4 linked regions of the Rhinolophus ferrumequinum genome follow. The protein of the gene in region 3 interacts with the protein of the main gene of each other region in a pairwise test. Links are inferred from orthologs where the notes say so. Each region holds a gene or a part of one and is shown on either strand. Other genes may lie near its edges. The genes, in order: C18H4orf46, MAP1LC3A, KXD1 and CCDC185.

Region 1 (7,539 bases), about 23 Mb from region 3:
ACAGAACTATAATAGTGATAAAGCACTTTAAAGACAGCAATCAAAAATACAACAACATCAAATGCAAGAAATATTATCTGTAGAAGCAGTTAACCTTAGAAATAAATAAGGAAAAAATATGCATTCTTTCCAGACATGCTTTCATTTTCTGAAGTAAAAGCTTGTTTTAAAAAGCCTCATAAGAGGGCAAAAAATGTTTAAATTTTTAAAAGCTGTCATCAGTTAAAGTTCAAATCCCTGTAAAAAAAAAGGGAACATTTTCCTTCAAGTCAACGAGGTTCTGATTCAAATATTTTTTTAGAGAAACAATTATAACCTTCATGCTAAAAATGGGGAAAAATAACAGATTTTAATTGTTGTTACCTCTTTTACTCAACAAACGCTTAGTGACTGTTGTGTGATACCGTTCTAGGAGCTGGGGATATGGAAGTAAGTAAGATACAATGATTGGTTCCAGGGAACTTAGCCTAATGGAGCTGGATCTGACATTACTAACCTTAAAGTTCCCTTTCTTGGTCTGTAAAATGAAGCTTAACTTCAAACTCTGCCATTCTTGGTATCTTCCTGCAGATCAAATAGAATCATGGTTTACCAAGTTTGCTACTGGTAGTAACACTGTGGTATTATATCTACTGATGAAATTAACTTTCGTAAAAGACTCTATGAAAGTTTAGAGGACAGAAAGTATTAAGATAAATACCCGCCAGCCTCAAAAATAACATCAGTGTTCTACTTTCACAAAAGTGAAGAAAACCAAGAAAAATTTCATTTTGAGTATACAGAACTACTGGAGATTATCCTACTATACATATGGTACATGTGCAAATATAAATGAAGTATGAGTTATTACACAGCCTAATCAGTTGTCAGTCTTCAAAGAATCATAGCCTTCTTTCAAGAGGTCCCGCCATGTTTTAAGGAAACGTGCATTTTCTGTACATTTGAAGGCAAGCTCTTCCACTTGAGCTGATACAGCAGATGTGGCTTCAAGAAGTTTGGTTAACGAAAATGCTGCCTGAAATTTAAAAAAAAAAAAAAAGTCAAACAATAGAAGTCTATTTTTTAAATTCTCATTTTATTAGTCTAAAAATAGCTTAAAACCTCAAATCCAATGTCCAAGTTATTTTCTTTAAAAGTAAAAAATCTTCAAACTAAAACACCAGCCCTTTCAGGGTACCCAAGAAATTCTTTAATATGAAGTAAGCTTTGAGGAAATATGTCTGCTTGAAAGATATCCTTTATGTATGAAACATGACAAGTCAGGTTTTTGCTTTTTGTTTTAAATTGAAAATACACTGGAGTCTCATTTAGTTCAACAAGATGACTTGGACCCCTTGAGACTAAGTACCAGAAGTATCTGAAAGGCTTCATCAGAAACAACTCTTGATATTTGGGTAACAAGGGCATTGTTCACTATTTCTACCTGTGAATACTTTGGACCATGAAAATGTACAGACCAAAGAACAGATACTCTGAGCTGACAAATAACAACAAAATCAAAACACATGCAGAAAATATCCAACTCTTGATGGAAAACTCACTTCTTAGTTAAATGTTTTCTTCACCTACGATATAAAAATAATTGTTCCTAGGTAACACATCAGCACTCCATTCTACATATTCACTTGAGACCAGTCTTGTGTTGTTCAGCAAAATTAGAAGCTGTATCAGCACTTTATTCATCTTAAAAAAAAAAAAAAACGAATACTTGTTGAGCCATGACATAATCGAGCTCTTTCCTGAGTTTCCACTTTGCACAGGAGGGGTCTATTCCACAAAGTTCTCCCAGGAAGATTACACCCTACGGCGTATCACTTGACCTACTCAAGAGACCTTAAATACTGTGACCCCCTCCGGTGGTGTGTGTGTTAGCGTTGCAGATGAGTGTGTGTACGCGCGCGTGCGCGCCAGTTTCTGGGACTCCTAGATTTAACAGAAAGCAACCAGACCAGGCGTTCTAACCACCATAGGAAGGGATATGTGACTACACGGTTAATGAAACCAATCTGGGCTACAGGGGCAGCGACCAACCCCTCCAAACTGGATGCAGCGCCAAAACAGGCCTGAAACTGGCAATAGGCCTGAGACTGGCTCTGGGCAGGTGACCAACTAGAACCGCAAGCTTTTACGTCCCACCGAGAGAAATCACAGCCTGATTTGAAGCACCCCCAGACAGCAAGGGCGAAGGATGAGAGGGCAGACAGAGCCAGCACAAGTCCGCTCTGTAGAGACCGCTCTGAGTGGTCTCGGGTTACAGCCGCTGATTGAAACCAGAAGGCGAGGCAAAAAGAAAACAGTGAGGGATGGGGCGGGTAGAGGCATAACCCCTAATTCCGCAACACTAAATATAAAGGCAGAATCCCGCCGGACGGGGCCTCCGGGCGCAGGCTTCCCCCACCCCACTCCCCAGCCCACACACTCAGGGGAGAGAAGCGCCAGACGCGCCAGGTCGGGTGTGCGGACACCTTGTCCGTCCCTCCCCGGCCCCACCGCAGTCTGTCTGCCAACAAGCACCGAGTGGGGACGCGGGCCCGGGACCTGTCGGGCGATACTCACGTCTCCGATCTGCAGCTCCACTTCCTCCAGCAGGTCCACCGTTGGGCCGATGCTCCTGCTCGGAACTGGCCAGTCTAAACGTACTGGGACACCAGGGGAAGACGCTGCAGAGGCATCTGAATACGAGGGAGAGAGGGAAGGCGGCGGGGGCTGCGAAGAAACCTGCACCTCCTCAGGGTCGGCCATGGAGAAGGGCAGGGACGGTGGAATCCGAACTTAGCTGCCGAACCGACACCAACTGCCTTTCAACCGCTGGCGCCCAAAGCCCAGAGGCCCTGCCTCCTCCCACCCGAAGTCCCGCCCCGTCTCCTTGTGGATGTCTGCCCAATGCCCCTAAAACGGTTCATTTTTCCGGGACAGCCAATCAAATGTCGGTCAATTTACCTTGGGCAGCTCACTGCTCCTGCGCAAAGCTCCGTGCCTTGCTTAGAAGGCACTTCAGCAGAAGACTACAACTCCCAGGATGCCGTACGTGTCACTCCGTCTCTCACTGTTTTCCGGTCGTGCGCGTTGTACTATGGGATTTGAGGGTTCTTCCCACCCTACTCTGTCGTCTTCAGCACGTCTGGGCGAGACGGAGGCGGAGACGAATCCGCAACCTGAAGCCGCGGGCCGCTCTGGAACTTGGAATCCCTTTCCTTTTCCTCTTCGGGTACATGACCCGGAAGCTTCTGCTGGTCATTGCGTCATGCGCGGCGCCGACGCAGAGCGAGAAAGAGGCGGTCACGCTGTGAGTCAAAGTGGTAGGGTGAACTGGGAGGTAAACTTCAGCAGAAGGGTTGGTGCTTCCTGGCGGGTGATGGTGCCCCCGGAGGCATAGAGGTCCCGCGCCCGGGGCGAGCCACAGGCTGTCTTCTTTCAGCTGTGTCCGACCGGGAGTCCTGGTTACAGTGAACATGTTGGTGCCGCTAGCCAAGCTGTCCTGCCCGGGTGAGCGGGAACTTCGGGGAGGGATAAGTGGAGGAAGGTCGAGTGATTAGGGAGAAACGGACAGGGTCACACCTGGGGGCTGTGGACACCTTTCTCCTTTCATCTCTCATTTCGTCGGCTTTCTCATGCTAAACTAGGACAAAGGTCATATTGTCTGCGCCTGGTGGTGGACCCTAGATTCCTTCCCATGGGATTCGTTGTCCTAAAGGGAAAAAATTGACAACTAGGCTAAAGGTCATGAGCGGAGGAAAGTTAATCAACACGGCCTCCGGGTGGACTCCTGAGCTGAATGGTGCCAAATCCTGGTCCTGACACTTATCCCAGCGCTCAGGTATTGTCTGTTACATTGTTAGAAACGGATAAAATAATCTTTGCACGGTTTTTCTCCGTGGTCCTGACCTGAGTTGCATGGCCTTTACAGCCATGCTAGCCGGTTCTTAAGAATTTGAAGTCTGATCTGTCACATCATAATTAACATTCATATGCTTCCCCAGTCACCAGATTATATCTGGAGCCAGAGATTTTTCTACATTGTCTAAAATTAACTCTACGGGCTTAATCATGTTATGGGTGCACCTAGAGCCATCACGATGACTTGTGAAAATACCACATTAACTCTCCTTTCATTTAAAAAAAAAAGAATGATGCAGTTAGATGGTGTTTTGTTTTACTTGAAAACAAAACAAAGCTCTTAAATTCGAAAAAAAATTCACTACAGGGTGAAGAAAAAGTTCACTACAGTTGAATTCTCTCACAAATGGCTTTATTTTTTATCTTTAATTTTTGGTTATGGAATAAACAAGTATATATATATATATATATGGCAAATTTAAGGATATCATTATGTAAATTTCATTAAAGTAGAATTTTGTCAGATTTGTTCACCATATATTAAATAAATAGAATTTTGTTTGAAGTTCCTGTTAACTTGTGCATGTATTACTAATGTATAGAAATGCCTTTGTTTGTTTGTTTGTTTGTTTGTTTGTTTGTTTTTGCACTATCAGAGTAGTCAGATGCCATCTGCCCTACTGCCTAATTTAATTGAAGCCATTCTTGGGCCAAGTGCTAACAAAATTCCACCAAAATTACCATTTCCATTTTACTTGGATGCTTAAATCATTGCCATTTTCATAGCTTACTGTTAGTACTACTGGCAAGGATGAGATAGACATAAATGTGCTGTCAGTGCGACTTTGATTTGGTGATGTGATAAGTTCAATGGACTTTGACCTCACTTCTCTACCAAAATTCAGCCAAGGTGTGTTAAGTGTTCAGATCTTTAAAGTGAAATGTCAGATTTGTTTTCAGAAAAGATTAAAGGTCGTGACTTTTTTTTTTTTTACCCCCTAGAGGAAATCAGACTACTCAGTTCCAAATATTCTCAAAAAAAACACTAGCTGTATAAGCAATAGAATTACAGATTTGTCTGATACCAAATCATCCGTTTTCAGAAGCAAATGATAACTTCTATACACTAAAACTACAATGCATCATACATCTTAAAATATTTTAATAAAAATATAAATATATAATGAACATTTGTTACAACTGGTGAGTCCATATTGATGCATTATTATTAATAATAGTTTATATTAGAGTTCACTGGATGTGTTGTACAGTCTATGGGTTTTGACAAATGTATAAAGACATGTATCTACCATTAATTACATTGTCATACAGAATTGTTTCACGGCCCACAAATTCCTATGTTTGATTTATTCATCCCTTCCTCTCTCTTCCTGAACCTCTGGCAACCACTGATCTTTTTACTGTCTCTATAATTTTGCCTGTTCCAGAAAGTCATATAGTTGGAATCATATAGTATAGTATGTAGCCTTTTCAGATTGGCTTCTTTCAATATGAATTTAAGTTTCCTCCATATCTTTTCCTGGCAACTAGCTCGTGTCTTTTTAGTAATAAAGAATATTCCATTGTATGGATGCACCACAGCCTTTTTATCCATTCATCTGTTGAAGGCCATCTTCCAAGTTTTGACAATTATGGATAAAGCTGCTGTAAACATTCACATGAAGTTTTTTTTAATCCTATATTTTCTATCTTTTATTATAATATGAACACTTAACATGAGATATACCCTCTTGAAATTTTTTTAAATGGATATAATACCTTATTATTGACCATAAGTCCAATGTTGTGTAGCAGATTTCCAGAGCTTATTCATCTTGTTTGACAGCAGGTTTTTGGGTGGATTAATTTTCCACTCATTTGGGTAAATACCAAGTAGAGCAATTGCTGGATCATATGTAAGAGCATGTTTAGCTTTATAAGACACTGCCAAACTGTCTGCCAGAGTAGCTGTACTATTTTGCGTTCCTGCCAGCAATACTTGGGAGTCTCTTACTCCCCATTCTCGTCAGCATTTGGCGTTGTCTGTGTTTTGAATTTTGACCATTCTAATAGGTGTATGGTGGTATCTCTGATTTGCTATTCCCTAATAATATAAGATGTTCAGTATCTTTTCATATGCTTATTTTCCACCTGTATATCTGTATTTCTTTGGTTAGGTATCTGTCCAGATCTTTTGCCCATTTTTTAAATTGAGTTTATTTTTTACTTGAGTTTTATGAGTTCTTTGTATATTTTGGATACCAGCTGTTTATCAGCTTTGTGTTTTGTGATGTTTTCTCCCAGTCTGGCTTATCTTTTTATTCCCTCATGTTGGCCTTTCAATGCTTCTGTTTTATAACTCTGGCTTGCCTTTTCACAGAGAATGACACTAAAAAAGCACTAGCGTATTTTATAATACCACGGTGAATCATAAGTGAGTACTATAATGAAGGAAAGTATAGAAAGGACTATATAATATTCAGTCACCAAATATTTATACCTATATATAGGCTAACACTGGGATTTAGCATACAACAAGGAAAAGAAAAATACTATAGGACTATGCTATGTACTGGGGAATACAGAAAACTAAGCAATTTATGTTTACATCTTTTATTGTTCATAGTTGTTTAAAATTTTTAATCAAATGATTTTTGAGACTTTTACCATACTTAGAAAAAACCTTTCCAAATCCAAGATTCTAAAAAAAAAAATTACCAGTGTTTTCCCCATAACCGTTTGTGTGTGTGACTAAATGCCTTTTTAAATAACAGTTTTATTGAGATTTAAGTTACATACCATACCTTTTACACCAGGTAAAGTGTACAATTCAGTGGTTTTTAGTATATTCACAGAGTTTTGCAACCATCACCCCAGTCTATTTTAGAACATTTTCATCACCCCGGAAAGAAACCCCATACCCATGAGTCACTCCCCAACCCCTCCAGCCCTAGGCAACAACTAGTCTATTTTCTGTCGCTATAGATTAGTTTGTTCTGGATGTTTCATATACATAAAATCATGTAATATGTGTGTTTTTTATGGTTGGCTTCTTTCACTTAGGTTTTTAAGGATCATCTATGTTGTAGCATATATGACTATTTTATTGCTGAGTGCTATTTCATTGTATGGATATATCACTTTTCATTGATTAATTCACTAATGGACATTTGGGTTTCCACTTTTTGACTGTTATGAATAATGCAGCTACGGACATTTATTTGTATACAAGTTTTTGTGTGGACATATATTTTTATCTTAAGTATATACCTAGGAGTGAATCGTGGAAACTCTTTATCTTTAACATTTTGAAGAACTGCCAGACTGTTTTCCAAAGTGGCTGCACCATTTACCATTCCCACCAGCGGTACATGAGGGTTCCAACTGCCCATATGCTCATCACCACTTGTTATTATTTGCCTTATTGATTCTAGCCATCCTAGTGGATGGAAAGTGGTATCTCACTGTGGTTTTAATTTGTGTTTCCCTGATGGTTAATGATGCCTAGCATCTTTTCATGTGCTTATTGGCCATTTGTATTATCTTCTTTGGAGAAATGTCTGTTTAGCTCCTTTACCTGATTTTATTTGGGTTATTTGTCTTTTTTTATTATTAGAAATAAGTTCTTTATATATGCTAGGTACAAATTTATTTTCAGACGTATGATTTGCAAATATATTCTCCCATTCCATGGCTTCTCTT
Region 2 (7,054 bases), on a different chromosome or scaffold from region 3:
GGGGCGGGTGAGCTGGGCCATGAGTGAGCCCTTGACCTGAGCTGGCCCTCTTTCCCCAAACACTCCTCTCAGACCTGTAGTGACCAGCAGCAGTGCTTGGCCCAGACTCAGTCCCTGCGCATGGTCTGGAGGGGACACAGACCCTCTCAGATGGGCAGTGACTCCGAGAGATGACACGTGGAGGCCCAGAGCAGAGGTCCTCAGCCAACGAATCATTTCTGAGCACCTACCTACCATGTGCTGCACTCTGTGTAGGCGCTGGGGAACAGCAGGAGCCAAACATACAGGAAACACTGTCATTAAGGGGTGTGCATGTTAGCAGAAGGGAGAAATGAAATAATAGAAGGAGCAGCAGGGAGGCAGGTCCCACACACCTTGTGGGCCATTGTTTAGCCTTTGACTTGTGCTCTGAACGAGTGGGATGCAGGAACAGCATGATCCAGCAGGATCACTCGTCAGTGTAGTGAGACCAGACTGAAGCAGGCAAGGCCAAAGCAAGGAGACCAGTGAGGAGACGATGGTAATAATCCGGAGATGATGGTGACTTTGGCATGAGTGGCAGTGGTGGAAGTGGTGAGAAGGGATCAGATTCTGGAGATATTTGAATGTAGAACCAATAGTATTTGAGCATAGATTGGATGTGGAGGGCAGGGGTGAGGGAAAGAAAGGAGTCAAAGATGACAGATGGGGACAGGGAAAATTACAGTTGGCGCACATGTATGGGAGGAAGATCATGAGTTCATCTGGGGAGGTCAAGTTTGAGATGTTTGCTAGACTTTGAAGTAGAAACAAAGAGTAGGCCAGACCTTTAGATTCAGAAGAGAAGGGGGAGAGGAGGAAGCAGTCAGCAGAGAAACCAGAGGATTGAAGGAGAGGTGTTAGTCTGCTGACTGGTCGGGTAAGAGGAAGAGTGAGCACAGACTTTGAGATTTGGGGGATGGGCCCCTCCCCCACTGCAGCCTCAGCCCAGGGCTTAGTCTGACAAAAGAGAGGTGTAACCACTTCCCCAAGGCCATGGCCAGCCTAGTTCTTTCCATTGCTCTTATTGGCTCTTATTACACTTAGTCTCATGCAACTTTGTGTTTGTGAGATTTGTCCACTTTGACACACATATCTGTAGATCAAGAGTCAGCAAACTAAGGCCCTAGGGTCAAGTTTGTTTTAGCAAATAGCCACAGCCATGCCCACTCTGGTTGTCTAAGATTGCTTCCACACTCCAACAGGACTGAGTGGTTACCAGGGCCACATGGCTGGCAAAGCCAAAAATATTTATTGTCTTGTCTTTTAAAGGGAAAGTTTGCTGACTCCTTCTCTTCCTCTTTCACTATAACAGTGTGTTGTTCTGTTATAGAAATACACCACGATATTTAACTGGACATTTAGGCGGTCGCAATTTTTTGCTATTATGAAAATGCTCCACTAAACATACCTGTGTTTCTTTGGGCTCACGTGCACTCGAAAGTAGAATCCCTGGTTTGTAAAATATGGGCATCTTCAGTTCTGATAGATTTTGCCAAATTGTTCTCCAGGGTGGCTGAAAAGATTTATACTCCCATAAGCAGCGTAAAAAGTTCCCATATTCCTCTAAAACTTGGTATAAAACTAATAAAACTAACTTTATTAGTTGGCAATCTTTTATATATATATCTACACATATATATATTCTTTTATATATATGTGTAGATATATATTTTATATATATATAAAAGAATATATATATATGAGAATATATGTATATGAGTATATATACATATATATGTGTGTGTGTATATATATATATATATATGTATATATATATATGAGAACACTGTGTTTCTCTAGGGTCTATCAGCTCCAAGTCATTGTCCTTCAATCTAGGGCGCAGCTCAGCTCCGAGGCCAGTCGCTATTTTCAGTCTTTAGTTGCAGGGGGTGCAGCCCCCTCATCCCATGAGGGAATTGAATCTGCAACCTTGTTGAGAGCTCACAGTCTAACCAACTGAGCCATCCGGCCGTCCTACCGTTTCCCCAAAAATAAGACCTAGCCGGACAATTAGCTCTAATGAGTCTTTTGGAGCAAAAATTAATATAAGACTTGGTCTTATAGTAAAATAAGGGTCTTTTATTATGTTAGATAAGATCTGATCTTATAGTAAAATATAATTTTACTTATAGTAAAATAAGACTGGGTCTTATCTAACATAATTAAAGACCCTTATTTTACTATAATATAAGACCAAGTCTTATATTAATTTTTGCTCCAAAAGACGCATTAGAACTGATTGTCTGGCTAGGTCTTATTTTCGGTATGAAACACGGTGTTGGCAATCTTTTATTGTTTGTAGATTCCTTGGGTTATTCTGGCTGTGAATGATAGTTTTGCTCTTTTTGCTCTTTTTTTAGTCTTGGTGCTCTGGCTGGGACCTCCATATAATACTGCATTTTGTTTGATGAAAAAATTTTAAATTTTGTTCCTGGCTTTGAAGGGAACAATGCTTAACATTTTACCATATACTGTGGTATTTTACCATTAAGTATAATGTTTGCTCCAAGTTTGGTTATTTTTATTTATTTATTTTTTTGGGAGAACACTTAGGAAACCATTTGGACTAGTTGGCTTTTTGAGGTATATGGCTACTCAGTTTGCCTATTTCTTTTTCATTTAGTCTTGGCAAATTATCTTTTTTGAGAAAATTGTTATTTCATCTAAATTTTAAACTTATTGGCATGAAGTTTATATAATCTTATTTTTGTCATTTCTGATATATATAGTTATGTCCTTTTGAAATTAATTTTATTTTATTGATCTTTTCAAAGATCTAGCTTTGTTTTGTGGTCCATACTAGTGTTTGTTTTCTATTTCATCAATTTCTCTTCTTCATTATTATCATCCTTAACTTTCTTTGTGTTTACATTGTTATTCCTTTTTAAAATTCTTTGACACTGCTAATAAATTTCCTGTATTCTTACCTAATATAACAAGGCTATAAATCTTCTAAATGCTGCTTTTAGCTGCTCGGAGTTTTTATTTTATTCTCATTTTTGGTTTGATCTAAATAATTTTCATTTCTGTATGATTTCATCTTTGAGTAGTAAGTTTTTTAGAAGAATGTTTAAATGTCCAAACATTTGGAGTCTACTTGGCTCATGTCTGTGGTCAGGGAATATGGTCTATATGAAACCGATTAGTTGATATCTGTTGAGAAATTTCTTGGAGTCTCCTAGTTAGGTTTTTTTTTTTTTTTTTGTAAATGTTTCTTGTGTGCTGGAAAGTAACATATTGGGTTCAGGGTTCTATCAGGGTCCATTGATCAGGACTATTGATAGTATTAAAATCGTCTATATTCTTTTTTCGACTGTTTGGTCTTCAGTTACTGAAAGAGGTCTTACTTAAATCTCCTACCCTGCTGGAGGATTTGGCCATTTTTCCTTGTATCTGGTTACTTTTGCTTTATACATTTTCAATACTTTTTTTAAACTTCTAACATACAAGTTCAGAATTGTTGTATTTTCCTAGAAAATTGTTCTTTTAACCATTTTGTGGTGACCCTCTTTATCCCTAAGCACATCTTTTTCCTTACAGCCTATTTGGTCTGATTTTCTTATATCTTTTGGTTAGTTTTTCTGAAGTATACCTTTTGCCACCTTTTCACTGTTGGTGCCCTAAGGTTTTAAATGTCCTCTTGTAAACAGCCTAGAGCTGCATTTTATTTTTCTTGGCCAATCTGATCATCTGTTTTAATAGGTGAATATAAAACATTTTCTACCTCTGATTATGCGCCATTTATAATCCTTTCTTTTTACTTTGCCTCCTTTTTCTTTTTTTCTGCCTTCCATATTTTAATACCCTTTACTAACTTTTTTCCTGCATTGGCAGTTATACTTTCTATTCTTTTAGTGATTTCTCTTAAATGTCTGAAATACATATTTGACTTTACAAAGCTAGACAATTATCATTAACTTCCTCCTCCTCTCCTATAAATCAAGCTTCTTAGAATGCTGAACTCTGGTTACCCTCTCCAGTCTTACCTGGCCCTGTGTTCAGTGCTCCTTGTTTTGCACTCCACAAATTAATCATCACTAGTCATGTTCCAATTAAGTGCTTGTTTAGATGACTTACATGTTTACCAATTTAATTGCTCACCATTTTGCCATCTAATTTCTTGTCTTTAGAGTTCTGCAAATTCACTAAAAAGTACCTAAATGCTTTTATTTTTATTTATCCTGCTCTGGATTTTATGTGAGGATCCTGGTCTTTAATTTTGGAAGCTCTTCAGGAACTGCCTCTCTTATATTCTTTCCTCTCTGGAACTCTAACTGGACATGGGCATTCTTCTCACTTTACCATTCCAGTCACTTCCTCTTTTATACTCCGTCCCATCACCTTTTTTATCTATTTAATTGCTTCTGATTATCCTCCAATTCAGAGAGATTCTCTTCTGCTGTGTCTAATCTGCTTTCTTGCCTCATTCTTTGCGATGTGAATTTCAATAGTTCTATTTTTCAATTCTAGAAATTCCTTTTTTAAACCTCTATGTTCCTTTTTAGGGCCTTGCTCTTTCATGTTTTAATTTCCCCACCCCACCTTTTTCTTTCTCTAACCATAAGCTTCATGAAGGCGAGGAGGACTTTTGGTTCACTGCTGTCATTCTCAGCACTCGTACTGTCTTGGAACTGACAGACTCGAGTGTGCGCTGTCACATGACAGTGACAGCAGGAATAGAGGATGCTGAGCCGCAGTCTGGCCTGCGAGTCCAGGCTTTCCAGGCTCTGCTCAGCCGGGGCCAGGGGGAGAGAGACCCGCGCAGGCCATGACATCATGGGACTGTGACGTGCTCTGGGAGCCCCCGCCCTTCATAGTTAGTGCGCGCTGGGAATCCAGGCTCTCTGCGCCCTGACATCACGGTCCGGGCGGGCGGGTTTTGCGTCGGCCCAATGGGAGTGGCGCGCCGGCCTCCCCTTTAAGGAATGTTGTGACCTGACGTCACCCGGGCGAGTTACCTCCCCGAGTCTCCGCCGCCGGGCTCAGCGTGAGCCCCGGAGCCCTTGAGCGCGAGGTACAGAGCCCCCGGAACCCCTGAACCGCAGCCACATCCCCGCGCCGTGCGCCCCGGAGCCTCGGCCTGTGCGCCCGCCGGGCCCGCGAGATGCCCTCGGACCGGCCTTTCAAGCAGCGGCGGAGCTTCGGTGAGGCCCGGCGGGCAATCAGCGACAGTGTGTGTGGGGGGGTGGGGGGCGCGACCGACAGGGCTGCCGCAGGTGACGTCAGCCCGGTGACGTCAGGCTCCAGCTGGACCCCAGGCTGGCAGGCAGGTTCAGGCCTGGGCCCCGGCCTGCCCGACGGCTCCAGGGGTGGGGGCTTTGGGGAGGTAGGGCCGGAGGGGCCACACCTCTGGGACAGGCGGAGTGAGCCGCGAAGAGGGCCCAGCTTCACTGCCCGACCTCCTTCCGCAGCCGACCGCTGTAAGGAGGTGCAGCAGATCCGCGACCAGCACCCCAGCAAGATCCCGGTGAGTCCCTCCGCCCCCTAAGCTCCCCGCCCGGCCCCAGGCCCCGCCCCGGGCTCACGCGTTGCCGCCCCACACGGTTCCCAGGTAATCATTGAGCGCTACAAGGGTGAGAAGCAGCTGCCTGTCCTGGACAAGACCAAGTTCCTGGTCCCGGACCATGTCAATATGAGCGAGTTGGTCAAGATAATCCGGTGCGTGGGCAGTACTGTCAGGGGGGACTCGGGTCCTGCTGGGGTCAAGCAGTGGGCCAGGTCCTGAGAAGGGCTCGGGTGGGGCAGGGCATGGGGCGTTGGGTACCTGTTCTGGGGAGGGTGGGAAAGGTCAAGGTCAGGGCTGGGGTCAGCGTCAGGTGAGAGCCTCTAGATGGGGCTGGGATGCGTGGGAATCAGAGGCTGGGCATCATTTGGGGGAAATCTGAGCTGCGCCCACCCAGCAGCCAGGGCCTCCTGTCCACCGCAGGCGCCGCCTGCAGCTGAACCCCACGCAGGCCTTCTTCCTGCTGGTGAACCAGCACAGCATGGTGAGCGTGTCCACGCCCATCGCGGACATCTATGAGCAGGAGAAGGATGACGATGGCTTCCTCTACATGGTCTACGCCTCCCAGGAAACCTTCGGCTTCTGAGCCAGCAGTAGGGGGGGCTGGCCTGGGAGTGGGGGGCCCTGTCAGGCTCTGCCCAGGGAGCTCCTGGCTCCTGCACTGAGCTGCCTCTGCCTCTTAGGTCGGGGCAGGGATGCCACCCCTTGGGGGCACCAACCACTCCATCTCTGCCCTGGGTAGATCCTGAGCCAGTCATGTTAGGGTTGTCCCTCTGGGTGCTGGCGGGTGGGGAGCAGCCCCCAGCACCCCTGCTCTGTCTGGTTCGTTTTTTTGTTTGTTTTTTTTTTAGGCCCCTGCCTGTCTGTCCACCTGCCCCTCCCCCACTCGAGGCGCTGTCCCCAGCCTGGACCCACCCACCCCTGAAGGTCTGGCCCCTGGCTCACCTGGCCTTCACATGGTGTATGAATCTGTGGGCATTGTCCTTCTGCAGAATAAAGATTGCTCAGGCCTGCCTGGCCCTTTGCCTCCAGCTGCTTGGGAGGGGTGGGGAGGACTCTTGGTGGGGCTGTCTCATGCTATTCTTGGCTCGCCAGTGCACATACTTGGATCCTGTGGATTTAGGGTTCATTCTGGAAACCCACATCCTTGTGAAGTGTACCAATGCAGTATTAGGGGCCAAGCCCACGTCTTCATAACAAAAACCATTTATTAAGTACCCACAACCTAACAAACCCTTCTCACCCTTCTTCCCTTTTCCTGCCTGGGAGGGGGCTCCTTGGTGTGCAGAGAGACAAAAGGGGGGTCCAAGTGGAGGTGCTCCTGGCAGCCAAGGTGCCACAGACCTTGCTGCTAGCCTTGGCTCCTCTTTGGTGCCAGGATTCGTGACACTGGACTTGAACCTCTTCTAAGGACTTGTCTGCTGGCACCTCCGGCTCGAGGGCTTGGCCCAGCTTCTGGCCTTCCCACCCCATGAAGTCCATGCAGCCTTGTGCCCAGCCAGGCCTATTTGAGCACAAGCATGGCCTCGG
Region 3 (7,383 bases):
CCTCCCCCGCCCCCCCAAGCCTTCTGCAGCTGTGAAACCATCTCAAAGCCCTGCTTCCTATGCCAAGGGCTCGCCTCCAGGCCAGGAAGGAATTTACTTAGGAGCTGGCCAGCAAATTTGCTCATTTCCTTCATTTTATCACCAGTGAGGGGGCGGGCTGGGCAACAATGCTGGCTGGCAAGTGGATTCCTTCCCACGCCTGGAGCCCAGGCTGCTTGGCCACCACTCACATGTTCTTCTGGGCCAGGATGATGGCATTGACGTCATCCACATTCACCATGCTCAGGATGCGGCTGCAGAAGACCCTCGAGGCCGAGGCCGGGGGGTCCATGTCTTCCTCCTCCGCCGCTGCCTGAAACGGGAAGAAAATCTGCAGTCTGCACCAGGCACATGGGTGGGTGGGGGGTTGGACAGGAGGGGCCGGGAACCCCACAGGCTGCCTGGAAGTGGGTCGGTCATGCCACCTCAGCCTCAGCTTTGTCATCCCAGGAATTCAGGGGTATTTCGAGAACTCCAGAAGGTCACATTTATAACTTGCACCCCAGCACATCGGAATCCCATCTCCCCTCCCCAGCACCCATTCTTCATATGCCCAGGGCCACTGGCACCGTCCACCTGCACAGATCTAGCTGCCCACCTCCTCCCACACCCCCTTGCCTTTGCCCATTCCCAGCTCAGAGCCTACTGTCCCCCCGGCGGAACATGCACCACTGTGCCGTCGGATCACCCTCACCTCGTGAGATCCGTGAGGACTATCCCTACCTTGGTCGTTCTCATCACCTTGTTTTAGTTGCTTCCCTGGCTCACCTCTGCCTGAAATTCCCTTAGTTAACAGTTGACCTGTTTGCCTGTCACCCCCACAGCACTGCCAGCTCCAAAAGAGTACAGGCATGTGTCTCCCTCGCTCACTGCTGTCTCCAGAGCCCAGCCCAGAACCTGGCTCACAGCAAGGAATCACCAGAACTTCCTTTGTCAGAGGCAAACAGGACTTTCAAACTCAGCTGTAATGCTGAACTTTTAACAGCAAATAAAGCCAAGAATTTCAGGCACTTGCAGCCAGTCTGTGGACCTCAGCAACCCAGAGAGCTGTGGGGCTCTCAGCTTCCCTAGCATGTAGATGACCGTCCCAGTGGGTTGGGCTTCCTGGATCAGGCCAGGGCAAGAAAGGCCACAGCTTTAGCGCTGACCCTACTGGTGGGGAGCTTCAGGAAAAACCCAGAATCCTGACATAGCTTGGTTCTGGAGCCCACATATTTAATGGCCGACAGAAAGGCCCACTTGCCATTGGTTAAGATTCACACACAGGATCAGTAAGGGCTTTCAGAGCCCACTTAATCCACCCTCCTCTTTATTTAGCACCTACTGTAAGCTAAACAAGGTACCAACTTTATACATAGGAACTGTTACCCTTATTTGTATGTGAGAAAACAAGCTCAGAGACTGAGGCACTGAGCTATCGTCACGTAGCCAGTGAACCTGAGTCACAAATATCCACGGTCCGCAGGATCCACAAAGGTGTGACCCTGTACAGATGTTCAGTATCCACCCATGATAGCACAGCTGCTTCTTACAGCAGCTGCTTCCTGCCAGACTTCTGATTGCTTCCAGGAAAAATACCCAGAAATGTGCATCCCCCCCTCCCCCGTGAAATCACCTCATTTGCAAATTTTAGCAAATAACCCTCTTTTCCCCCAAACACCATGGGGCCAAGAGTATTTATGCCATGAATTTGGCTTAGTGCTTTGCAGCCCCTACATGCCTTCTGGAAATAAGCTGCCACACCTGGTGAAATCCTCTCGCCCTGCCAATTAGTACTATTTTTTGAGCTCCTATGTGCCAGGTACAGACATTCACAGTCTCCACATTTCCAAAAAAGTGTGATCACGTATAAAGAGGCTACTTGGGCTCAAAGGGCAGTCCCTTGGTGGGAAGCCCACAACTAAAGCCTGGCAGGCACAAGATTTGGACCTGCAGGAAACGGTTCTGCTTCAAAGTTGGGTTCTTTCCTGTCTCTGGCTCCCATATGTGAGATTCAAGGCACATCCTTCCACTGCCAGCTCCTTCTCTGAGGAAAGCCTTCCCTAACAGCTATTGTGGACCACGTAAGGGTGGAAATAACCCAGCAAGCGCTCTGGTATCTGTTCTTTTTATGAGGGAAACACGCTGAGAGGGAGGCTGTGTGACTTTGGGAGAGTCACCTCACCTTTCTGAACCAGTTTTCTCATCCAGAAAATGGGAATAACAATCTCACAGTCCTGTTTGTGGGGACTGAAACCAACGGTGATAAGCTTAATTCCGAGCAGGCTGTTTCTCCAAGGTGAGTGTTGAAGACGTTTTAAGTTGGGGCGCGGGAATCAGCATTTTGACGAGACCCTCTAAGGTGTTTCCAAGAACATGAGCAAATTTAATCCCCAACCACGCCTATGAGGCAAACACTCTCATCTCGGAGGAGAACTAAGGCTCACAGGGGCCGGCTCAATTGCCCAAGGTAAAACGGCCAGGCGGAGAGGCAACGCGATTCCACCCAGGGCATTTAACAATTCAATTTGGTGGCCCAAGCTTAGCAAAACCCTGGAGTGGGAGCGAGGTTCGCATATCCCCTCACACCCCGCCCCTGCCAAGCGCAGAAACTGAAGCCCAACCAGGGCAACGCCCGGTTCTAGGTGACACAGGCGGCCCCAACTCCCGCACCCTGGACCTGGATCAACTGAGCAGACAGGGAAACTGAGGCCTGTGCGCAGGAGGGGTGCCCAGATGTGGCCAAAAGCGCGCCCCACCCCACGACAGCCCCAGGGCCGCGCTCGAACCGGCCCGGCTCCCCGGCGGCCCCGGCAGCCCCAGCCCCACCCCAAACTCGGCCCCGGCGTCGGCGGCAGCGGCACCTGCACATCTGGCGGCCTTGCTCGCGCTTCCGGGATGGCGCCCGCGCCGCCCTGATGTCACCACGCACCATGCGCACGTGGCGGCGACGTGCCCAGGGCCGATTTGCGTGCGTGGAGGCGCGGCAGGAAGGGGGAGGGTTTAGTCTCTTCGCTTGTGCGTCACAACACAAAGCCAATCAAGCAGTCACTCTCTCGCCTACGTCGCTTCCAAAGCCCGAGCTTTCCAGGCTGGGAATCAAATTCACCGGGTTCAGGAATCCGTGTTCTGCTGTTGCTGACTTTTTTCTGGTCCATTACCATCCAGGATCCCACGTTGCATTTAATTACATCTCCTTAGCCTCCTCCACTCTGTGACAGTTCCTCAGTCTTTTCCTACTCTTTCATGACCTTAATACTTCTGAAGATTTCTGGTTTTGTAGAAAACCCATCAATATGGGTTTAATCCAGTGTTTCCTCCGGATTAGACTGCAGTTAAGGAATTTGGGCAGGAATCCCATAGAAGCGATGCTGTGTCCTCAATGCGTTATATTGAGGCATGCGATGTTGACTGACGACTTGCTTAAGACAGCGTCTTGACGGTTTCTCAACTACGAAGTCACTGTTTTCACCTTTCTAATTAATAAGTATCTTATGGGGAGCTACTTAAGAGACAATGCAAATACTTTTTTTTTTTTAACATTTTAAAAAGCAGTTGACACCCACAAGTTTTAGCATCCATTCATGGCTCTTGTCAACAATTTTTACTTTTTTCTATTTATTAATTTAATTATTAATTGGAATTTATGCTAAACAAGAGCTGTCCACTCTCCAATTATGTATTTATTCACATTTATATTGCTCTGAACTCATGAGAATTTTATTCTGTTATTTATCTTGCTGCCCCTTTAAGTGAATCACCTACGTTCTTTAATATGTCTTCCATCTTTCTCTAAGAAAGTAAGAAAGTAAGTACTTTCTTACTTTTGGCACAAGATTTTCCATGTTTGCTTTGGCATATCCTTGGAATCAGCAGTTTCTCCAAGGACACTGGTTCCTGTTCTTGGAGAATGGTATTTAAAAACCAAGGTCTGGGTGCTGGGTGTGCTCATTGCTTAACCACGCTCTCAGCTGTCAGAGTTAGCAAATACATAGTATGTCTACTAACCTATGCATACACACATCTATATTTACTCCTACATCTGTCACCTTGGCTATATACTGAAAACCATAAACAAAACGGGGCAATTACAAAATAGTAATTGCTTAATAAATATTAGCAATTCATTATCATTAGTTATGGAGGTCTTATAATGTGTGTATGTTATACGTCTAATTTTTCTGGGTCTCAGTTTGTTAACTGTGAGCCTGGGTGATCACCACAGTTGCCTTTTAAGGTTCTTGAAAGCTTGGGAGATAAACACATACCATGCTCTGGGGCACATGAAAGACTCTTTAAGAGCTCTGGAATTGGATATATCTGAGTTCTAATTCCAGTTCTGTCACATCTTAGCTGGATGGCTTTGGGCAAGTGGCTTAACCTTATGAAATCAGGCAGGTGAGTTCTTTACACGTCTTGGCCCACTGTAAGCCCTTGGTAAACTGTATTATTACCCGCATGTTTTGCTGCCTTAATTCACTGAAAAGTTAATACAGACCAGGACTCTTAAACACTTAGTTCAAAAGTCTAAAAAACTTGTCAGTAACCCTCTAGCCACCCCCTCTGGATTTGGCCCATATTCTGGGAATCCAGAGAGTACTCAGTCCCTGCCTAGCCCTGAAGGATGGAGGGAGACAGAGTCTGACTCAGACACTCCCAACCCTGAGTGGAACACTGCTGGGTTAGAGGGAGGAGAGACTCAAAGCTGGAGGAACCTTAAGAGTGGGGGTATGAGAACTCCTTTTAAGGGCAAAGAAGAAAGTATGTCTGGATGGGGTTTTGAGGTAGGATTAGGAGTTTTCTAGGTGCTGACTTTCATTCAAGGCTGAGGGAATCACAGGAGCAAAGACAGGGTGGTGGGAAAACATTTAGTCTGGACTTGATCTTTTTAAGAACTGTAGAGCTCAGTGAGCCAGGTAGCAGCCAGTGCTGAGAGGGGAGCACTGGTGGGGGCTGCTGGGGAAAGTGGAACCATGACTCTGTCTGCAGGCTGCAGCAGAAGAGGCCCAGGCTGAAGAAATCAAGCTTTTCAATGGGTCCCTTGGGCTCTGTTAGAGGCCAGGAAACATTTACGAGGGTCCCGGAAGAGGTGGGGGCTGCACATTGAGGCCAAAAGGGACTTGGCTGGCCCCAAATGTTTTGTGCACAGTGGAGTAGAGACAAGAAAAATATTTTCCTCCTTTGTGTGTTTGAGGGAGAGGGTGGGAAATGATGTGACTGCTCAGTTGCCCCAGTGATGGGGACATTGGTGGTGGGGGAGGCCTAAGTCTGGGCACTGGAAACCTTTCTCTGCCACTTTTTCCAATTTTATTTCTTACATAGCATTCATCATAGCTGCAGTTAGATACTTATCTGCATTATTGTTTATGCAGTATCCAGCTCCCTGGCTGGAATAGAAGCTCAATGGGGTAAGATACCAGGCCCACTGTGCCCTTCATCACTGTGACCTTGAACAAGTTAATTAACTTCTCTGTGCCTCAATTTCCCCATCTGCAGAATAAGGATAATAAGAGTCTTACCAAAATACATACATCGAATTCTAAAGAAGGCAAGAGAGAGAAAAGGAGCATAGAGAAGGTATTACAGAGAAAAAACACGAGAGGGCAGATTTAAGTCCAAATATGTGTGTAATTACATTAAATGTGGAGACCAAATGCCCCAATTAAAAGATAAAGATGGGCAGGATGGATCAAAAAACAAAACCTGATTCTATTCTGCTTACAAGAGGCACATATACAACATAAGGGTACCGAAAGGTGGAAGATAAGGGGTGGAAAAGAATGGAAACTTTAAAAGATAAACCAAGAGAATAGGTGTGCAATCTTAATATCAAAGTCCACTCAAAAGCCAGAAGCATGGAGATAAAGAGGGGCATGTCACAACAATCACAAGTTCTGTTCACCAGGAAGATGTAACGATTGCAACTCTGTACGTAGCCAATGATGTGGATTCCAAATATCAGAGTATTTGTCTCATAAGGCTGATGGGAGGATTAAATACACAGTTTTTGCCTACACCTGTGACACCGGAGTCTCAGCTGTCACCGTGTTTCCCTGAAAAGACCTAGCTGGACAATCAGCTCTAATGCGTCTTTTGGAGCAAAATTTAGTGTAAGATTCGGTCTTATTTTACTATAAGACCCAGTCTTATGTAATATAAGATATATAATATATAATACTATACTATACTATAATGTAATACTGGGTCTTACGTAATATTATATAAGACCGGAGCTTATATTAATTTTTGCTCCAAAAGACGCATTAGAACTGATGGTCCGGCTAGGTCTTATTTTCGGGGAAACACGATATTATTGTTATAATTGTTGATGTTATTAGTTTATATTTATTTTAGTTGTTTATGTATAGTATCTTTTATTACAATTCCTCTAGCCCATGAAAGAGGTAAGGCTGAATGGGTGCAGATAAAGACATTGAAGATCAGAGATGAACAGGTAATAGTCCAAGTCCCTCAGAACTGGGATTGACCCAGGGTTTGATATTCTTCCTAGGCAATTCCTCATATATCCTCACTGCTTTCCCATTTGTTTTGGCTGATGAGCCTGCTTCCTTCCTTCCACAATGATTTCCCCAAGTCCTCCCACCCTCCACCTTTTGTGCTCTGCACTGTGCAGGCCTCAGGACTGAAACAGTGAGAAACAACGGACCCGTTACAGACTTTGAGGGTCTCCTAGACTAGTGGGCAGAGGTAAGGCAAGTAATGGCACGGATAAAAGTCAGTGAGTTATGAAGTGGAGGTTCATGGGTCTAGGAACAGCCAATTGGGGCACCTGGCCTTGCCTTGGGGAGGTCTGGGAGGTCTTCCTGTAGGAGATGACCTCCGAGCACTGATCTAACAAGTTAGTTCCCTCCAAAAACTAGTTACCTCCTCCAGTGTTAGCTACCTCCAAAGCCAGTTTCATTCATTTATTCAATTATTAGTTCATTTACTGAACTCCCATAGGTGCTAGGCATCATTCAAGGAGGTGTGTGTGTGGGGAACAAATCAAGCAAAATTCCTTTTAGGTAGGAGCAGAGTTGGGAAGAAAGGAGAAGAAGCAAAAGAACAAACAAGATTATTCTGGATGGTGGTAACTGCTGGAAAAAAAATAGAGCCAGGGAAGAATAATTGCCCCTCCTTTCAAAACAAGATCCATAATAACCCATCTAATCGAGGCAGCCACCTTCTCCAGGGACCATGGGCACTTTATCACTCTCTGGCACAAGGTACAGGGAGGAGTAACTACCCCCAGCGGCCCTGCTCGCTCAGTAGCTCACCTAGCCATTATTGAGCTCCTCCTGTATGCGTCAGGCAAGTTCCCGGAGATTAGACAGACCACACAGGGGAGAAGGGGTACCGTGTGCC
Region 4 (6,527 bases), on a different chromosome or scaffold from region 3:
TATAAAAAAGAAAAGCATTGACATATTTTACTTTTTTCCATAGTAAATTTTTGAAATCCAGGGTGTATTTTATCTCGATAGCACATGTCAATTGGGACTATCCGCATTCAATGTGGCCGCTGGCTGCTGTATCGCACAGAGTAGCTCTCGCTGATTTCCCCCTTTTGACCCATCCAAGAACTAGAAGCTTTGCTAAGAGATCGAATCTGAAGCCACTACAGTAACTACTAACAGCCGTTCTGAGGAAGGGCCCAGAGCCCAGTTCTGTTCCATAAGTTAATTTGAATTGTGGAAGCAGAGCACATTTTGCCGTGTTTTCCAAGCTTCCAGCAAATGAAGAAACGAGGCCCAGGTCTTCATTTGGCAGAAGTCCCAAATTCTGGGGCCGCCAGTGAACTACACTGAGGATTTTTCTGCCAAATAAAAAGGAGGCTGGTGGTTCTTAGTATCAAGGGACTGCTTGGCAGCTTAACATTTGCAAAACATCTCTTTCATCTGCCTACTGCAAGAGCTGACAGTGGCTTCTGGGATTGTCATCCTCCCAGGGGTCAGATGCTAAAGATGCTGGTTAGAAGGTTGGCCCTGCTCCCGCTGCCCTGCTCCAACCACCCTCCCACTTCCCCCCCAGGCCCCTCAGAGAAAAGCTGTCTCTTTCCCGTTTGTCAGTCTCCTCCACATATTCTGTTTGCTGTTTTGTGTGGGGGTTCCCTTATTACTACATCTTTTTTCACCTGATTTCCAAGATCACTCTTTTCAAGGTCTCCTAGAAGGAGACCTCTTGTCACTGGCACTCACCATCTGCCCAGGCACCCAGGTGAGAAACCCTCTTTCTCCAGATGGAACTCATCTTCAGATCATGGTCCCTCGATCTCCGAACAGTCCCTTGAATCCATCCCTTCCTGTCCCCCTGCCACGGTCCAGGTTTATACTTCCTGCTGGCTCACCCAGATTAGTGAATCAACCATCTAACTGGCCACTGTCTCCAATTCCCCTCCCCTTACTCCCCAGTTTATCCTCAACACTGCTGCCAGGGTAAGATTTCTAAAATATAGACCCAATTGGGTAATTTTTTTGGTTTCAAGACTTTTACTGACTTTTCACTGCCATCTGCACAGTGGTTTTCAATGCTTTTTATAAGCAGAACCTTACATTTTTTCAATGTGATGAAACCAAGAGCCCCAGGATACAAAACCTAAAATCTGAGCTGCTGTGGGGACAGAGGGTCAGGGCAGAAGCAGGGACAGAGGCCTGAGAATCTGCCCTGAAGTTCTCAAGCCCCACATCCTATGGGACCCATGGCAGCTGTAAGGAATCCCGGAGCTCCCTGGAAAGCTGGAACGTGCAGCCTGGCAGTCAACGCGCTATGGCATCAGGGTCCAGCCCACCTTCCTTTTTCGCTTTTTCGTGAAACTCTCCCCTCCCACAACGGCTACTCTATCCCGAATTATGTCTTGGTCCTCTGCTACTCTCACTCCACCCAGTCTACACGTGCAAGCTCTCACACAGCTATGCTTTCTCCCACACGACACTGCTTCTCTGTGACAAGAAATAGCCTGGCACTGGCCAGAGCCCCATTTGGTTTTGCAAAATGCTTGGCAGAGCCGTAACCAAGAGAGATGACACTCAGGTATCAGCACAATTCAGTTCATGCCTCCATATTTCCTAGCTTAAAGTGAAATGATTCCGTTTCGAATTTGATTTAATTTTTTTAGAAGTTGCCTCCTTATACAAATGACAACCACAGATAACTTCTCTAACAATGGTCTGAGTGGCGCTTATAGAAATCTAGGGTAGAAGTTAAAAAGGAGAAAGGACCAGAACACAGCCTGTTCTATCCCTCAAGATATTAGTATTCACTCATACAAAACACAGCCTTACCGACTCTCAGCCTCATGGTCGTTGGAAAGTAGGGGCTGTGAAGGTAAAGAGCGACCAGCGGGCTGGATATGTCAATTACCTGGATGGGAGGGAGCCTATCACAATGTATACATCTATAAAACCACCACATTGTACATTTTAAGTATCTTACAACTGTGTCAATTATACCTCAATAAAGCTGAACGCCCTTCCCCCCCAATAAAAAAGAAATCTAGGGTAGAAACAACTTATCCTCAGCTATAAACGTGCTAATGACCACATCGGAGATCCCACCCAGGCAGAGAGGGCTCCTGGAAGAGGAGGGCTCAGCTCCTCTAGTCCAGGCTGCTACCACCTGGCTTCAAGGACCTGGCCACCATGACACTCTGGTGTATATCTCATCATAATTTTCTTAAAAGCATGTCATCTTAGGCAGCTCAGGCTGCTATAACAAAACACCCCAGACTGAGCGGCTTCAACAACAGATGTTTATTTCTCACAGTCTGGAGGCGGGGAAGTCTGAGATCAAGGTGCTGCCTCCATCCATTCTGGTAAGGGCCTGCTTCCCAGATTACAGACAGCCACCTTCTGGCTGTGTCCTTATGAGGAGAGAGAGGAAGCTTTGGTCCCTTGGACATTAATCCCATCTAAACCTAATTACCTAGCAAAGGCCCTGCCTCCAAATACCAACACGCTAAGGGCTGCTGGGGCTTCAACATATGAATTTGGGGGGACACAAACATTTGATCTATAACACATGCATCCATTCAAACTGCATTTCCTGAGAGGCAGCACGATGTCATGGAAAAAGAAGTGAATCTGAAGTCAAAACTCCCGCCAGTGACATTGTGCTCTTTGGGGAAATCAGTTAACATGGCCAACTCTCAGACCCGTCTGAAGCAAACGTCAATTCTGTTGGGCCCACACAGCTGCAGTTGCTGTGAAACTCCAAGTAGATGTGGGTAAAGAAGACAGGGGTGAGTCAATCTTCATTTTTCTTCTTTAAGGAGTCACCCTCTTTGAAGAATGTCAACCAAAACTGTTCCCGCGTTGCACCTCAGAGAAGGGAAGTGACTTAACCAAGATCCACAGTGCAGGATGAACGTGCAAGAGCCTGGGGGCCGCCCCTCGCTAGCACATTACCCTTCACCTAAACTGTTTTAGTAGCACCTTAAGCCCATTCTTTTTTTCTTAAGCTAGGAATCCACAGAAACTTTCGTTAACCCATATATTAAGTCTTACAATTTTTAACTGAAGCCTAGCAGGACATCAAAATATTTGTTTAATGCATTAAGGTGCTAAGCTCTTGACACATAATTTCGTCTGACCCTCAGGACGGCTCTGCAATGCCGTGTGTTATCATCAGCCCTTCGTCCATTCCACTTTTCCAGAATTTGAGGGTCAGGAAAGGCAGGTAACTTGCCCAAGACCACACGGGTGGAAAGTGGCAGAGGTCATTCAAACTCATGTTTGCGTGACCAAATCGTTTTTTTCCCAATAGCCTAGGGTACCTCAACAAGGAAAAATAATCTCATGAAATTAGAGAAAAGGGTCAAAAATATTTTTTTTTTCAGAAATGTACACACGACATTCACATTTTGACAAAAGCAGGAATTGTCACGTTAGGGGAAAATGGACAAGTCTTTTTCCTGTTCTAAAGTTTAAAAAGTAACCAAAACACACTTTGGATTTGCTAACTTAAGCAGGCAAAAAGGTTGTACATATTAATGTGCTTCCACAGCCGCGTACTTTGCAGACTCCATATAGGTACACAGAAGAAGGGGTGGTGACTGAGGCTAAGCCTGGCTCAGGGGATTCCACCCCCCGCCCCGACCCCCTCGATCCTTCCCTCCACATTACATTCTGGGGTGACAGCTTCACTCAGGTCCTTTTAAAAGCCTGCTGCTTTAAAGTGTATAGATGTGAGATCAAATTCCTGCCTGAAATGCTGGTGGGGGTTCACTACACACCCTCAGCTCTTAGGGTCACCCCTGATTTCCTACAGCTCCCCTCTACCCTGCACCTTCCCCCGGCCTTCTACCCCTCCCACTGCCCCCATCGCAGTACGAATGCTAGGGAGGCAGGGGTGGGAGAGGGCCGAGGGCTGCAGGACCCTGGCGACTGGGGCATTGTGAAGTGGCCCTAGCGTCACAGGCGCCAGGGATCCCTGCCCCAGAGGGCCGGGGGCGGGTCTCAGCAGCACCCCCTGGAGGCCGCAGCACCCTGGCTCATACGCTGCGCGCGCAGGGAGGGAACATGAAGGGCTTAGGCAACTTCTCCTCGCTGCCCTACCCAGACCTCTGGGAGCCTCCGCCGCTCGGCGGAGGGCGCGCGTCCTCCTCCTCGCGGCTGCGTGGACCCAGACCCCAGACCCAGCCGGCGCAGGGCTCCTGGGCTGGGACTCCGGACGAGGGGAGTGAGGTTGCCGCGGCCTTGTCACCCCCGCACTGCTCGCCCACCCTGCGGCCTCGCCGGCGCCAGTCACCCCACAACTCACTGCGGGAAAGCCATTGCCTGAGAGAGATGGCCCGGAAGCCCCCAGACCGCACCAGGAAGCGCGGGACCCGCAGCCGGCGCCTGGAAGATGCCTGCGGGGAGCCAAGGACCCAGCCCCACCCTCTGGGGAGAAGTAGGTGCAGGCCAGCCTGGCCGCAGCAGCCCCAGCTGTCACCCCAACGGCCCCAGTCCTGCCAACACTACCCCCCAGCCCAGGGAGATTCGCCCCCACCGTATTCCACGGGTGCTTACACGCCCCCGAGTGGAACTTTCAGGGCAGAAAAGGGACAGAGTGGAGACCCATGGGCAGTGCCGGTCTACAGAGGTCAAGATTGCTGTTCCCTGTCCTCAGTCCCCACAGAGAAGTCGTCTGCGCCCTCTCAAGCGTTCGCTTGCGTGTCCACCCAGAGGAGGGACAGTAGTGATGGCATGGAGTTATTAGCCGGCCAGTACTCCCAGCCCTCAGTCTCCAGAAAGGAGAGGCAGAGCCAGCGCACCCAGATCCTCAAGAACAAGCTGGAAGAGGCGGTAACGTCTTCCAGGGACCAGAAGATTGTGGCGCTGGTGCTCACCCGTCTCAAGAAGGCCCAGAGGATGCGGGAGCTGCAGCAGCAGGCGGCTGCAGCCTGGGAGGAGCTGAAGCGCTCGGACCAGAAGGTCCAGATGACACTGGAAAGGGAGCGCAAGCTGCTACTGCAGCAGAGCCGGGAGCAGTGGCTGCAGAAGGAGCAGCGCAAGACTCGCCTGAGCGGGGAGCAGCACGTTGGACGGAAACAGGACGGCCACGCCAAGAACATGGTCCAGCAAGAGAACCAGTGGAAGGCGCAATCAGAGGGCCCGGAGACCCAGCGCCAGGAGAAGCTGGAAAGGGCCCGCCCCGAGGCTGATCACAGGAAGCATTGCCAGGTCCAGCGCCAGCAAGAGCAGGAAGAGAAGGTGGTGCGGCACCAGCGGGAGCAGAGCAGCCTGGAGGTGCAGAAGAAGCCGGAGCAGGCCTGTGACAAGAAGCAGCTGCACCCCACCGGGGGCCAGAGGAAGGTCCAGGAAGCCAATCTCAGCTCCCTAGTCAATTACCAGGCCCGGAAGGTCCTCATGGACTGCCAGGCCAAGGCTGAGGAACTCCTCAGGAAGCTGTCCCTGGAACAGAGTTCCCAGTGGTCCCAAGAGATCCACCAGGGCCTGATTCGGGAGCGTCACCGCGAGCTGAGGGAGAAGGCTCGGATGGAGGAGGAGCAATTCCAGCAAGTCAAGTGGTGTGCGGAGCAGCTGGCAGAGCAGAGGAAGGTGCACAAGCAGCTGTTGGTGGAGCTGGCGGACCAGCAGTTCCAGCAGGACAGGAGCAACGTCCACAAGAACCTCAGGGACCAGGAACAGCACATGCAAGAGCTCAACATCCTGCGGGAGAAGAACCATCACATCCTGAAGCTGAAAGCCGAGAAGGAGGAAAAGTGCCACGTGGAGGGCATCAAGGAAGCCATTAGGAAAAAGGAGCAGATGGAAGAGCTCGCCCGAGAAAAAGATGCCAACTTCGAGGAATTCCAGAAGATTTCCAGGGCCTCCAGGAGGGACAACGTGGGAGCCAACAGACTCTTTGCTCAGCTGGACCGGGAGGCCCAGCTCCGTGTGGGTCAGCAGAGAGGGGGCTACTGAGAACCTGACAGAGAGAGAGAGAGAGAGAGTGAGAGCTCACCGCCCAGGCGGCTGGAAAGACATCTGGTGATGTGATTCCATTTATAATCTGATTATAAGGGAGCATTGATAGTAAAAAAATTATAAAATAGCTACAATTTCCTCTCGTGAACTAGTTTGTCCATTCACTTGGGTCGTTGAGAGGGTGAGGGATAGACGTTTGGGAATTTTAGGAAAATTACTTGCCTTTGTGAATGTTGACTTAAATAGAAACGATGCATTTAGCTCTCAAGTAATCTGAGAAGCACATATCGGGCACATCTTGGAGGAACCAGAGAAAAATCTACAGTAGGAGAGATTGTTCTATGTCATGGTTTTTTCCTCTCCCAGAATTTACGAAAGGGTGAAGTGTGAAGTACCAGTCATAAGAAATCTCCAAGAAGAAGAAAAAGAAAAAGCATGTAGATTTGGGATCCCTGCATACTGCGTCCCCCCTTTAAACATGAAAAGTTCAAAGGCTCTGAAAAGGCCTGTAGTAAAGAAAC

The links.
Region 1: the proteins of KXD1 (region 3) and C18H4orf46 interact in binary tests that used the Homo sapiens proteins (3 or more experiments, as listed by UniProt). The two-hybrid records come from large-scale screens. The link is inferred for Rhinolophus ferrumequinum from reciprocal best matches to the Homo sapiens genes KXD1 and C4orf46.
Region 2: the proteins of KXD1 (region 3) and MAP1LC3A interact in binary tests that used the Homo sapiens proteins (3 or more experiments, as listed by UniProt). The two-hybrid records come from large-scale screens. The link is inferred for Rhinolophus ferrumequinum from reciprocal best matches to the Homo sapiens genes KXD1 and MAP1LC3A.
Region 4: the proteins of KXD1 (region 3) and CCDC185 interact in a two-hybrid assay, tested with the Homo sapiens proteins (2 studies listed by BioGRID and IntAct). The two-hybrid records come from large-scale screens. The link is inferred for Rhinolophus ferrumequinum from reciprocal best matches to the Homo sapiens genes KXD1 and CCDC185.

Annotation. Positions count from the first base shown.
Region 1 is NC_046301.1:28,016,029-28,023,567, forward strand, and holds the start of C18H4orf46 (renal cancer differentiation gene 1 protein), read right to left. Parts: upstream 3,007-7,539; 5' UTR 2,743-3,006; coding exon 2,557-2,742; intron 1,016-2,556; coding exon 860-1,015; 3' UTR 1-859. Other genes in the region: ETFDH (electron transfer flavoprotein-ubiquinone oxidoreductase, mitochondrial), read left to right, coding at 3,453-3,486.
Region 2 is NC_046306.1:20,672,415-20,679,468, reverse strand, and holds MAP1LC3A (microtubule-associated proteins 1A/1B light chain 3A), read left to right. Parts: upstream 1-4,689; 5' UTR 4,690-5,125; coding exon 5,126-5,165; intron 5,166-5,432; coding exon 5,433-5,488; intron 5,489-5,572; coding exon 5,573-5,679; intron 5,680-5,947; coding exon 5,948-6,110; 3' UTR 6,111-6,543; downstream 6,544-7,054. Other genes in the region: PIGU (phosphatidylinositol glycan anchor biosynthesis class U protein), read right to left, coding at 7,029-7,054. UniProt on the Homo sapiens protein: Ubiquitin-like modifier involved in formation of autophagosomal vacuoles (autophagosomes). While LC3s are involved in elongation of the phagophore membrane, the GABARAP/GATE-16 subfamily is essential for a later stage in autophagosome maturation.
Region 3 is NC_046301.1:51,279,124-51,286,506, reverse strand, and holds the start of KXD1 (kxDL motif-containing protein 1), read right to left. Parts: upstream 3,006-7,383; 5' UTR 2,883-3,005; intron 2,871-2,882; exon of another isoform or gene 2,848-2,870; intron 2,734-2,847; exon of another isoform or gene 2,204-2,733; intron 353-2,203; 5' UTR 332-352; coding exon 231-331; intron 1-230.
Region 4 is NC_046310.1:12,729,224-12,735,750, forward strand, and holds CCDC185 (coiled-coil domain-containing protein 185), read left to right. Parts: upstream 1-4,113; coding exon 4,114-6,003; downstream 6,004-6,527.